Ovis aries: one gene and its partners. The protein of the gene in region 3 interacts with the protein of the main gene of each other region in a pairwise test. Links are inferred from orthologs where the notes say so. Each region holds a gene or a part of one and is shown on either strand. Other genes may lie near its edges.

Region 1 (3,726 bases), on a different chromosome or scaffold from region 3:
CGCTCAGCCTGCCTGGAGCTTTACCCATTTACAGCAGTCCTGAGAGCCGGGCCTCCTACGTGGGCGCGGGAGGCAACCCCTCCCCCTGAGACACCCTCCGCTCCGAGCCAGCCCTGCTGAGGGGCTGGCCGGCAGTAGCACGCCCCGCTCGGCTTCCTTGAGCCCCCTGGTGGACTCTGAGTGAAGCCCCAGTTACTTGGCAGCCCCTCTCCATTCCCGAGTCCTGCATAAAACCGCATTTTTTCCCCTGTGTTTCTGGTCTCTTTCCTCTACCGACCAGGGAGCACAGAAGTCATGGGTGGGGGGTGCCTTTGCCTTCATAGAAACGTCCAAATCTCAGGGCTTTAATGTTAATCGAGGAACCCTTGAAGAGCGGAGGTGCCTCCGAGGCCGAGCTCTGCTGCTTAGGCCCCATCCTCCGGGTGCGAATCCAGGGATGGTGCATGGCCACTGAGACCTCCGGGAATCGGGGGCTTTTAGGGGTCACACCCAGCACCGCAGTGCACCCGCTCTGTGATCTTCAGTAAGCTGGTCTCCTTCTCTGAGCCTTCTCTGTGCAGGCAAAGAGAATGGGTATAAAACTCCTGGGAATTGCTGGGGTACTTGGGTCCGCGGGCTTAACGGTCCCCACCCCGACTCCTCCGGCGCGCCCGGGGTGATGAGGGAAAGCGGACTTCGTAAACGCGGCCAGGCGGTACTCGACCTCTGCGGTCGGCCTCCCCGCGTCCCGAGAAGAACGGCCCCCTTTCCCCACCCCCTCCGGGTTCCCGGCAGCCCTGGCCGCCCCGCCCCCGCTGCAGCTGCTGCTCCCATCCCCACCCCGCCTGGCCCTTTCTGCCTCGTCATCTCCTGCCCTGCCGAGGCTCGACCCGTGAGTGGGGCCGCCAGGAGCGCAGGGACCGGGAGCCCCACCGAACCCCTCCCCCTCCGGCTGGGGGAGGGAAGAGAAACTGAGTTTGGGCGAAATCCGTGCCCGATCACCACCAGCAGCCGTGCGCGAAGGTCTGTGAGCCCCGCCCCTCTCCTCCCCTCTCCCCTCCCCTCCCTTCCGCAGGACTCATCTCTGGGGCTGGGTGGAGGGATGGATGTTGAGTTCGCAGTTGCGCGGTCTTCCGCGCTGGCCCACCACCTTCGCTCCTTAGCGAAAGAACGCGCGCAGGGAGCGAGGTGGGGAGGGCGGCAGAGACCCCCGACCACGCGTGCTAACTGGAGCCGCCAGGTCCTCTGGGAAGAATCTGGGCTGTGACCATTGAAGGACATAACTTCGATATTCTGAGCATTAAATCTCAGAGGATCCAGACTAGCTGGGGTCTCTGCTGTCCAGACAGGACAAAAGGCAGGACTTGAGGTAACTAGAGGAGGAAGCTAACATGAAAATAATTTGGGGAGGAGGGAGAAAAAAGGAGGGGCCGAACTAATATGTCCCCTCCCTCTCTGCACCTGTACACAGTGGGTTCTGCCTTCCCTCCCTTCCTGCACTCTTGACTGTGGGGACAGATTTTGGAAACCTCAAGTAAGACGGCAGAGGATCCATGGTACACAGTCCGGTGATGTCAGCCTAGTGAGGGTGTATGATGTTCACTGGGATACAGAGGAGAAGGAAAGAATCTGCCTCTGGGACACTTGGGCATTGGGGTAAACGAGGGGACATTTGAGTCTTGAAGATGGGTCCACCACTTGGAGGGAGAAAAGGGATTCCAGGCCCAGGGAACAGTGTCTACAAAGTTTGGGAAGTGCCGGTACTGAATGGTTGAGGAAAGTGGGGGAAAGCCTCCTATCTAGGGGCTTTAAGTGAACAGATAGTCTGGATTCTCTCTGGTGGTCCCACGAGGGTTGAGGGACAGGTAGTCATGGTTGGCATTCTGCTTGGCCAGACCCCTCGTAATTCAGGCTGGAGCTAGCCACTTGGTCTGTCTGAGCCTGTGTCCTCCTCTGTAAAATGGGCACAATAATCCTACCCTAGAGAGTTGTCCAAGTCACTGTTCTGTAGGGTGATGGGACAGGAGTGAGAGGTGCTGGGAGAGACTGTTACAGGAGATGAGGGGTGGAGGGAGATGCCGATTCTCACTGAGATGTCAGTGGAGGAGCAGCATTTGTCACAGATGGGACATGAAGGGAAAGGGAAGGGCGAAGGGTCTCTGCTCATAGCCTGAGGGAAGGGCTGACACCTCAGTAGGGCTAGGAGGGGTGCAATGACCAGGGAGGCATAGCATGACAGCAGGCAGTGAGAGAGATGGGGGTTAAGACTGAGTCCTCTCTCCCAGACGTAGAGCCAGGTAAGGAGGTGAAGGAGGCACCCCAAAGAGAGGATGAAACCCTTGGACAAAGCCAAAGCCAAGGGAGATGGACTGAGAACGGGAGTGGCCCAGGGCCTGACCTAATTGCCCCTTAATGCCAGGGACCTTGCTGCCTGGGTCAGGTGACCCAAGAGGAGATGAGCCATCGTCCTTGGCTGTTGATAAGTGAACAAAGCAGATTAATTTCTGCCCAAGGCCTGCTGTTGGGGTGGTGACAGCCTCTCAAAATGGGAGGATCCACTGAGGAAAACAGTGAAAGTTTGACAATTGCTGGTAGCTTTTATGAGTTGGGTCCTGGATACTTCAAGATGATGGCTGTGAATCATTCTCAGGGCAGCAGGGAGACAGTTTGGTCTCAGGTATGTCAGAAGATCTTGGTCAGAGCTAATACTCAGGAGGACTCAGGTATCTCTACTCAGGTATTAGGGAACCAGGAGAGTCTAGGAAACCACACTGGGGTTCCAACACGTGGTGGTATCGGTGAGGGGGTGCAGAGGCAGGGGCCTGTCCTGGAAGGATGGACCTCAGAGTCAGGATAAGTGTCTGGACTTCCTCTGGCAGGTGAGAGGAGCGGGAAGACTCTCAGCACTTTGGGATCTGGGAGGGGAGAGATGGAGCTTTGCAGGGTCTAGGCTGGAAGTGAAAGACTAGACTCTGGTGAAGTTGACAGAAGTATTCGGCAGATAGACTGGAAAGGAACTTGATTGCAAGCTGGGTGTGGGTTATCAGGACCAGCTGTAAGTTGGGGAAGCAGGTTGGGAAAGAAGTTAGGTTGGATAAACTAGGTCCGAATCTCTCGCGGTATCTACAGGTGGCAGGGGCTCAGGAGGAAGGACCTGCTTGGGGAGAGCAGTCAGAGTAGATGAGGGTCCTGGGATAGCTAGGGGAGGAGAGGAGTGCCACAGTTAACATTTAGGGGCCAAAGGTGAAGCCAGAGGGAGAAATAAGACAGAAAAGGTCAGGGAGGCAGGAGCGGTGCTGCGCTGCGGGCCTGACAAACCGCAGAGATCCAGGTGAACTTAGACCCCAGCCACGGATGTTCACTGGGGCCCCGGGAGAGAGGTCAAAAGCAGGGGAGCTCCGGCCCCCACTACCTCTCGGCCCCCCACCTCCCATGCAGCCCCTACCATGGGCAACACCCAGGAGAGGCCATCAGAGACGATCGACCGCGAGCGGAAACGCCTGGTAGAGACGCTGCAGGCGGACTCGGGGCTGCTGCTGGATGCGCTGCTGGCACGGGGCGTGCTCACCGGGCCCGAGTACGAGGCTCTAGACGCGCTGCCTGACGCCGAACGCAGGGTGCGCCGCCTGTTGCTGTTGGTGCAGAGCAAGGGCGAGGCTGCCTGCCAGGAGCTGCTGAGCTGCGCCCAGCGAACTGTGCGGGCGCCCGATCCCGCCTGGGACTGGCAGCACGTGGGGACCGGTGAGA
Region 2 (3,646 bases), on a different chromosome or scaffold from region 3:
CTACAACATGGATGGAACATGAAAACATCATGCTGAGTGATAGTCGAGGACTTTAAAAGCAGTTTGCATAAATATATGCCAGGATTTAAAGAAAAATATGAAAAAACAGAAATGGAAGATATCAAAAAGAACAAAATAGCATCTACAGAGATGAAAAATACATTGTCTGAAGGAAAAATTCACTGGATAGGATGGGATTAAGAGCAGATAAGATACTACAGGAGGAAAGGCTAAGTGAACATAAACACAGAGCAGTAGAAAGCCTTCAAGCTCAAGAACAGAGTGGAAGACAAAAGAACAAGTAACAGCAGAGCCTAACGACTGCAGAACAATGGGAAGCAGACATACACGAACCCAGATCAATGAGGGGGTGCAGAAGGATGCAGAACGCGTTGGCAAAAAAATTTCAAATTTGATGAAAACCTGAGTCCACAGATCCAAGAAGTTCAACAAACCCAAAGTAAGATAAACACAAAGAAAGTCACACCAAAGAGCACATCATGGTCAAACTGTTTAAAAACAGGGATGAAGGAAATCTCTTAAAAACCACCAGAGGAAAAAGGGCACATTACATTCCTGCGGAAGGACAAATAAAAGAAACTGCCAACTTCTCATAAGAACCAATGAAACCTAGAAGACTTCCCACTAAGATACCACGCCGAGAGGTCCGGCCATGGAGTTGAGCTGGGGTGAACATTGGGTCAGCTTTATTCCAGAGAGCACTAGGGTGAACTAATGTAAAATTTCTGCAGTGGTATATATTACTTTTGTTTCCAAAGTGAAGCTATTTCTTCTGTTACCGCTAGTCCCCAGCTTTTCAAGCCACCTCTGGCTCCGCTATGCACCTGCCTGCCTCCTTCCAGCCACTGCTCTGGCCCCACTGCTGCTAAGTAGCTTCAGTCGTGTCCGACTCTGTGTGACCCCATAGATGGCAGCCCACCAGGCTCCCCCGTCCCTGGGATTCTCCAGGCAAGAACACTGGAGTGGGTTGCCATTTCCTTCTCCAATGCATCAAACTGAAAAGTGAAAGTGAAGTCACTCAGTCGTGTCTGACTCCTAGCGACCCCAAGGACTGCAGCCTTCCAGGCTCTTCCGTCCATGGGATTTGCCAGGCAAGAGTACCGGAGTGGGTTGCTATTGCCTTACTACTCCTCCTGCAAACATCCAACCTCCCTCTTTGTGCCCACTGGGCTGTTCGCCACCTTCTCTGAGGCAAAGCCTTAGGCTGCACCTGCTCAGGCAGACAGTAGAGTGGTCAGGGCTGTGCCAACTGGCCAGCACTGCTCACATTCCCCCTCTGCCACCTGTGGGGAAGGGACTACCCCTCTTAGGGCCTCAGCTTCCTTGTCCTGAACAACAGGATCCACCTCAAAGTTGCAGTGCAGCCCATTCCCAAGGTGAATCTTCTGTCCCTGTGGCTGTGGCTGCATTTACCCTAGCAGCCTGCCTGGCGGTGGTGCCTTGGTCTCTGTGGGGTGATCACTCCGGCCCTGCCGATGCGCCATCATCGAAACTAGTGCCAAGCAAAGAGGAAGCTGTGGCCACAGCCAAGAGGCTGCCTGTCTGTGCAGTGCAATCAGTGGTGGGCTCAGCGCTTCCCAGGAAGCGCCATGTCTTCCTCCCTGAGCAGCCTCTGTCTCGGCTTCAGTGCACGACAGACGCCCCTGCTGCTCCTACTTAGTGTCTGCCAAGGGCCCACCTCTACAGAACTCAGCACCAACCGCCGCCTGCCAGCCGACATCCGCCGCCTTACCCGGCCACACCCTTAACCTGGTCACAGTATTAAGGCCCTGAAGGGGGGACGCAGGTGTTTTGCTATTATCTAGAGGATTCCAGACTTCACTCCTCTGGGTCAACAGAAACTTGCACAGCATCCTCCACCACCCCAGGTCCCTGCTTGGTAAGGAGGCCACATCTCTGTGTTAAGACCACCAGGCCAGCTCACCTTCACTGGTGCCCGAGGTGCTGCTCTGCCACGCCCCCTCATGTTGCCTCCAGGGCCCCCTGTACAGAACAGAGGTGCACATCCCCCCGACTCTGCATGCGGCACTTGTTTCTGACCCCTCAGCCATTTCTAAGGTTCCTGTTCACTTAACAAGGCAACTAGGTACTGACAGGCCTCCCTGACCAGCGGAGCTGGTGCTTGGAGACAAATGTCTTCTTTTAATTGTCAGCCTGGCGGTAAAATACAAAAAAGAAAAATTTGGGTAGGGAGGCTTATTAATAAAAACAACAAAAAAGAAGCATTTGTTTTCTACCTAGAGAAGGTACCCATGCAAAAACCACCAGCGATGAGTCCCCAGGACCATAGGTGACCCTGGAGACTAGGGTTGGCCCCCCCTTTCCTCCTGGGAACACCAGTGCTCCCAAGCCTGACCACTGGCTGAGTGTGAATCTTCCCAGAGGTTTGTTAACAGACACACCTTCGGGAGCTTGACCCCTAGGGCATCAAGCCTAGTATGCCTGCTGGGATGCTCTCATGTGATCTTAATTAATCATCCATCTTAACTAATCACATCCATAAAGACCCTATTTCCAAGGAAGGTTGCACCCTGAGGCACCAGGACTAGAATACGCCTTTCGGGGCCACCATTCACCTTGGGGTCGTCCCATAGCCAGTGTCAGGCTCTGGCTGGCACACAGCAGCACGGGAGTCTGTGCTTTTTGAGAGGAACGGCCATCGTTACATATCGAATGGTTCAGTCACCACATGTGTAGAAGCGTGTTTTGGGATAAAGCTCTGACCTTTTGGTTCTCTGTGTTACCGTCTGCCATGGTACAATATCTGAATTTGAGGTTTTTTGATATTTCAGATACTAAAGACACAAAGAAGATTGAGTGCAGATTCCCATTAGCTGGTTGAGCTTTGGTCTCACCTGGTGTGAACAGTCATCTTAAAAGAAACATGGCTGCAAAGATCTACCTCCAGTGCTGATTCTGGTTGGCGTGCTTCCCCTCTGGTGGGGGTAGCGGGTATCTCCAAGGAGCCTGGGAGGAAGAGCTGCAAGGGAGACTCAGGAGGAGGGCGGCCCCTCACCTGCGCCTCCTCCTCAGGGAGTAGCCCATGTGTCCGCAGAGCCTGCAGGGCCTGGTCTCTCTCTCGGGTCACGGCCTTCAGCACCACCTCTCGGTCACACAGCCGCCGCTCCGTCTCCTGGAGCTTGGCAACAACCTGGGGAAAATGCAGACTCAGTTCATCTTGGGAGGATCAGAAGGGAGCGGTGCCACTTTCAAGGTCCAGACCAGCTCCCTACCCTGCTGGGAAGCAGAGGGCAGACACGAGGGTGAGAAACCCTAGGAAATATGTGGCCGTCAGAGCCAGAGGAGCCCAGCAAATGCTGGGGCCACCTATGCATCCAGCTCCAGAGGCAGCTGCCTGGCCATTAGAGACAGGCTGTGGGCAGGGACTCATCATTGCAAGTCCTGCTGATATAAACCAAACTGCTCAGTGAGGCCAAGTGCCTTCAAGTGCAAAGGATAACTTGGTGAGGGCCCAAGCCAGCTCCATGCTGCAGTGGACATACCCGGCCCTTCCTTCTGCAGAAAGAAGTCAGACAGCCCAGGGGAGTGCAGACCTGATCTCTGGCCGCGGTCAGGCCCTGAATCAGGTCCTCGGCCTGCTGGTACTGCTCCCGCTCAACACCTT
Region 3 (3,646 bases):
CGTTGGTGGAACCTGTCCCACGTGCTCAGCTCTGCTCTAAGCTCTTGACGTGTGCCCTCATTCAGTCCCTGCAGCTACTCTGTAAGGCTGGGGCTGTCACCAGGGGACAAGGACACTGAGCCCCAAGGTGGGGAGGGACGACTCAGAGGTCGCAGAGCCAGAACGGGGCAGAACTGGGGTGGGGGCCCAGGCAGGGGGCTCAACCACTGTGCACTGAGCTCAGGAACACCCTATCCCTAACCCTAACCCACCCTATCCAGGGCTTCCTAGACCCTCTCCAGTCATCACAGACCCTTGAAATGGTGTGATTCCCACCATTTCACAGATGCATAAACTGAGGAGCAGGGGGAACTGAGATGTGCCCAAGACCACAGAGCCTGAGAGGCCAGCACCATCCCTCCCCAAGGGGCTGTCCTGTCAGCAGGCCACCGTACTCCTGGAACACCCTGCAAAGGCTGTGAGATGATCTTCTTTCTATAGGTGAGGAAACGGGAGCCCAGCACAGGGAACTGGGTCTCAGCCTGGAAATAACACGTTTAGTTAGGAGTCCCTATTCTGTGCTGGTGATTTGGACAGAGCTCCTCAAATCCTTCCAGCTCTCCTGAAAGACATGATGACCACCATCGTGCAGATGAGGAAACTGAGGTGGAGAGAAATGAAGGGTCTGTCTCCTCTCACCCCTGACTGTGTCCTGGAATATCCTGTCAAGTCTAAACTTTCAGGTCCATCAGCAAAGCAAGTGCCCACCTTCAGGAGCCCCCACACTGACCACCACCCTGCCTTTTCCCTCAGATTCTTGAATTCAAGTGACTACAGGGAGGAGGAGCCTCTCAGGGCCCAGCCCTGGGGACCCTGGAACAACAAGGGAAGACATGGGTTCCTGACACCTGAGTCTAGAACAGGAACTCTTGCTCACATGGGCCCTCATTACCCTCTAGGGAACACCTCCCCCTCCTCATCCTCAGTCCACCGAACCAGGAATGGGCGTGTCCGGTGCTGCTGGGGTCTCAGTGGCCCCTCTGGACTCTGTCCACACCACCCTTCCCAGACCTGCTCCACAGGGGCCTGGTGAAGGGTCAACATCACATCAATGGGCAAAAATGACTCCTGATGCTTTTAAGCGTGTTTTTTACGAAAATCACGATATATTGTAGTATCTGTCTGAATTGGTTATAAAGGTAGTCCTGCCTCTCACACAGGACTCTTTTTTTTTTTTATACTTCATACTGAAGAATAGAACAATACAGGATTTTAAGAGGACAAAGCTGGAATTTTCTCCCCACTTTGACAAGCATGGTGAGGTATGCAGAGAACAGGGCTGTGAGTCAGACTGCTTTGGGTTCAATGTTGGCTCTCCTACTTGCTCACCAGCCATGTCCCCTCCTTGAGCCTCGGTGTCCTCATCTATAAAAGGACAACAGACGAACCCCTCCCTCAGACACTGGTTATAAGGAGTAAAAGCCATGAGGAAGATTCCGCATCTGACAGGCTGCTCCCCACCCCTCCCTCTGTTCTCACCCAGGGAATCATCTGGGCAGGCGGCCTGGGGAAGAGGCAGAGCAGCCTCCTGGGAGGCGGCAGATCTGAGTGGTGGTGGTGGGCCACTTACTGGCTGCGATTTGCGGGCAAGGAGCCCATCATCTGGGAAATAAAGTAGTATCTGCAAAATCAGGAAAAAGCCACCTTCCTTTTCTATGTCCAGGGGTTGTAGGGAGATTCAATCTCCCTACATCTAAGAGAGAAATCTGGGGCAATTTCTACCCAAATTTAAATCCACATACTGCCTGAACTAGCAATGCCACTTACAGTGGGCATCTCCCACCAGAGTAGAGTGATGTATAGGTAAGGTTATCCACTGTAGTTCTGTTTCAATGGCCTAAGTTTGGGAACAACTTGTTTATTTGTTAACAAAGACTGGTAGATGCTGTCTCCATATGCCAAGTGCTTTGCAACTGTTGAAATACTGGGCAGCTCCAGGTGATGATGTGGAATGAGGGATTTACGGTTAAAACAAAAGTAGGAAGAGGTTCCCAATCACCTTGGGAATCAGGGCCTACATGTAAGGGGCATTATGAACCTTTGGGAAACCTATGAAAAGGGTCCCTGTTCAATGGTTCAAATTAAGGGGCTTTTATTTTGCTCCCTCCTTGTACCAGGCTCTTCTATGAAACCAGTTTCAATGTTGCTGCAGGAAGGGGACTGGCCTGGAATCAGACTGGGTTCTGGAAGGATCCCCTCACTGACCATGTGACTGTGGTCTGGGTCCCTGTCACCTCTTGGCCTCAGGCCCCTATGTGTACATGGAGGGTTGGAGGATGGTGTCTAAAGGTCCTTCCTGTGCTGACAGTCCAGGATTCAGGAGTTAGAAAGAGGATCCTGGACCTCTGGCAGAAAACCCTAAATGAGCACCTTTGCTACCTCAATGGGGCTGCCCCTAAGTCAGCCACATGGGGACATTTTTCTGAGATGACCCAGCTCTGCTCGGAGCTTTCAGTGAAGGGTTTTCTCAACAGATCCCCAGGAAACACCCAGCCTCTGGGCATCTCCTTCAAGCAGGGCCATCAGAGTAAACACTGGATGTCTGCCCTAAAAATTTCCCCTCAGTGTGTAGTTTCTGAAGAAGGTATAAACACATCTCCCCTCCCTGCCCTGGAAGGCTTTCTCCTCTTTGGGAGGAAGCGGACGTAAGCTTCACATAAGAGGAGCCCTTGCCTGCTTTGCTCACTGCTGCCTCCACAGCATCCAGGGCAGGGCCTGGCACACAGGAGGTGCTCAGTAGGTGCTGAGCAAATGGAACACTCAGCCACATTGAAGGGAGTACTCTCTGGAGGCAGGTGGTAGGATCTGACCTGCGACAGGGAAAGTCACTCAGACTTTCAGTTCCCTCATCCCTGGAACCAAAGAGTTGGATGGGATGAGCTGGATGAGGAGTAATTAGCATGACCCCCACAGACCTCAACTTCCCTGACCTGTAGAAGGGCGTGAAATCAGAGCATGTCCAGACCATGAGAAAGCACACAGTGCTGCATCTGACTGCCTTTTTTTTTTTTTTTTTTTTTCGCTCACAGAGTGAAGGGCATTCCTGTTGACATGTTATCACAGACCAGCAGACAAAGGAGACCCAAGCCATACTCACCGCTCACAGTGAGATGAGTGCCTGGTCCAGACTTAAACTCCACGTCGCCCTGTTCTCCTTTCCGGAACTTCACACAATAGTAGACACCAGTGTCTGCTGGGGTGATGTTACTGATGCGGATGGAAAAGTCCATGTTGTATCTCTTTGTGGCATCTGCAACACTTGTTACTCGGGGGGAGACACCTCCTTTTTGACTGTAGATTAACTCCCGACCTGGCCCAGTTCCCCTGAACCACTTGATGGGCCCCACGGGGCTCAGGGAGGTCACGGTGCATTGCAGAGTGGCCGTCTCTCCTGCTGCAACTGACACTGACCTCTCAGGCTGAATCACCTGCAGCTCCCCCTCACCTGCCGCTCCTGGAGGAAAACACAAAGCAGTTAGGTATTCATCCTCATGTGATCCTGTAGGTTTTCTCAAGTGTTTATCAATGACAGCTTACAGTGACTGTACATACCATGAGCTGGCCTTGAACTCAGTCCACTGCACGTATATCACATGTGACCCTCACA

What was found.
Region 1: the proteins of SIRPA (region 3) and NOL3 interact in a two-hybrid assay, tested with the Homo sapiens proteins (2 studies listed by BioGRID and IntAct). The two-hybrid records come from large-scale screens. The link is inferred for Ovis aries from reciprocal best matches to the Homo sapiens genes SIRPA and NOL3.
Region 2: the proteins of SIRPA (region 3) and CCDC57 interact in a two-hybrid assay, tested with the Homo sapiens proteins (2 studies listed by BioGRID). The two-hybrid records come from large-scale screens. The link is inferred for Ovis aries from reciprocal best matches to the Homo sapiens genes SIRPA and CCDC57.

What each region holds. Positions count from the first base shown.
Region 1 is NC_056067.1:34,376,747-34,380,472, forward strand, and holds the start of NOL3 (nucleolar protein 3), read left to right. Parts: upstream 1-817; 5' UTR 818-1,002; exon of another isoform or gene 1,003-1,450; 5' UTR 1,451-1,513; exon of another isoform or gene 1,514-2,656; intron 2,657-3,417; 5' UTR 3,418-3,425; coding exon 3,426-3,720; intron 3,721-3,726. Other genes in the region: HSF4 (heat shock factor protein 4), read left to right, coding at 1-89.
Region 2 is NC_056064.1:50,203,004-50,206,649, reverse strand, and holds part of CCDC57 (coiled-coil domain-containing protein 57), read right to left. Parts: coding exon 3,576-3,646; intron 3,173-3,575; coding exon 3,038-3,172; intron 1-3,037. UniProt on the Homo sapiens protein: Pleiotropic regulator of centriole duplication, mitosis, and ciliogenesis. Critical interface between centrosome and microtubule-mediated cellular processes. Centriole duplication protein required for recruitment of CEP63, CEP152, and PLK4 to the centrosome.
Region 3 is NC_056066.1:52,930,700-52,934,345, forward strand, and holds part of SIRPA (tyrosine-protein phosphatase non-receptor type substrate 1), read right to left. Parts: intron 3,494-3,646; coding exon 3,137-3,493; intron 1-3,136. UniProt on the Homo sapiens protein: Immunoglobulin-like cell surface receptor for CD47. Acts as docking protein and induces translocation of PTPN6, PTPN11 and other binding partners from the cytosol to the plasma membrane.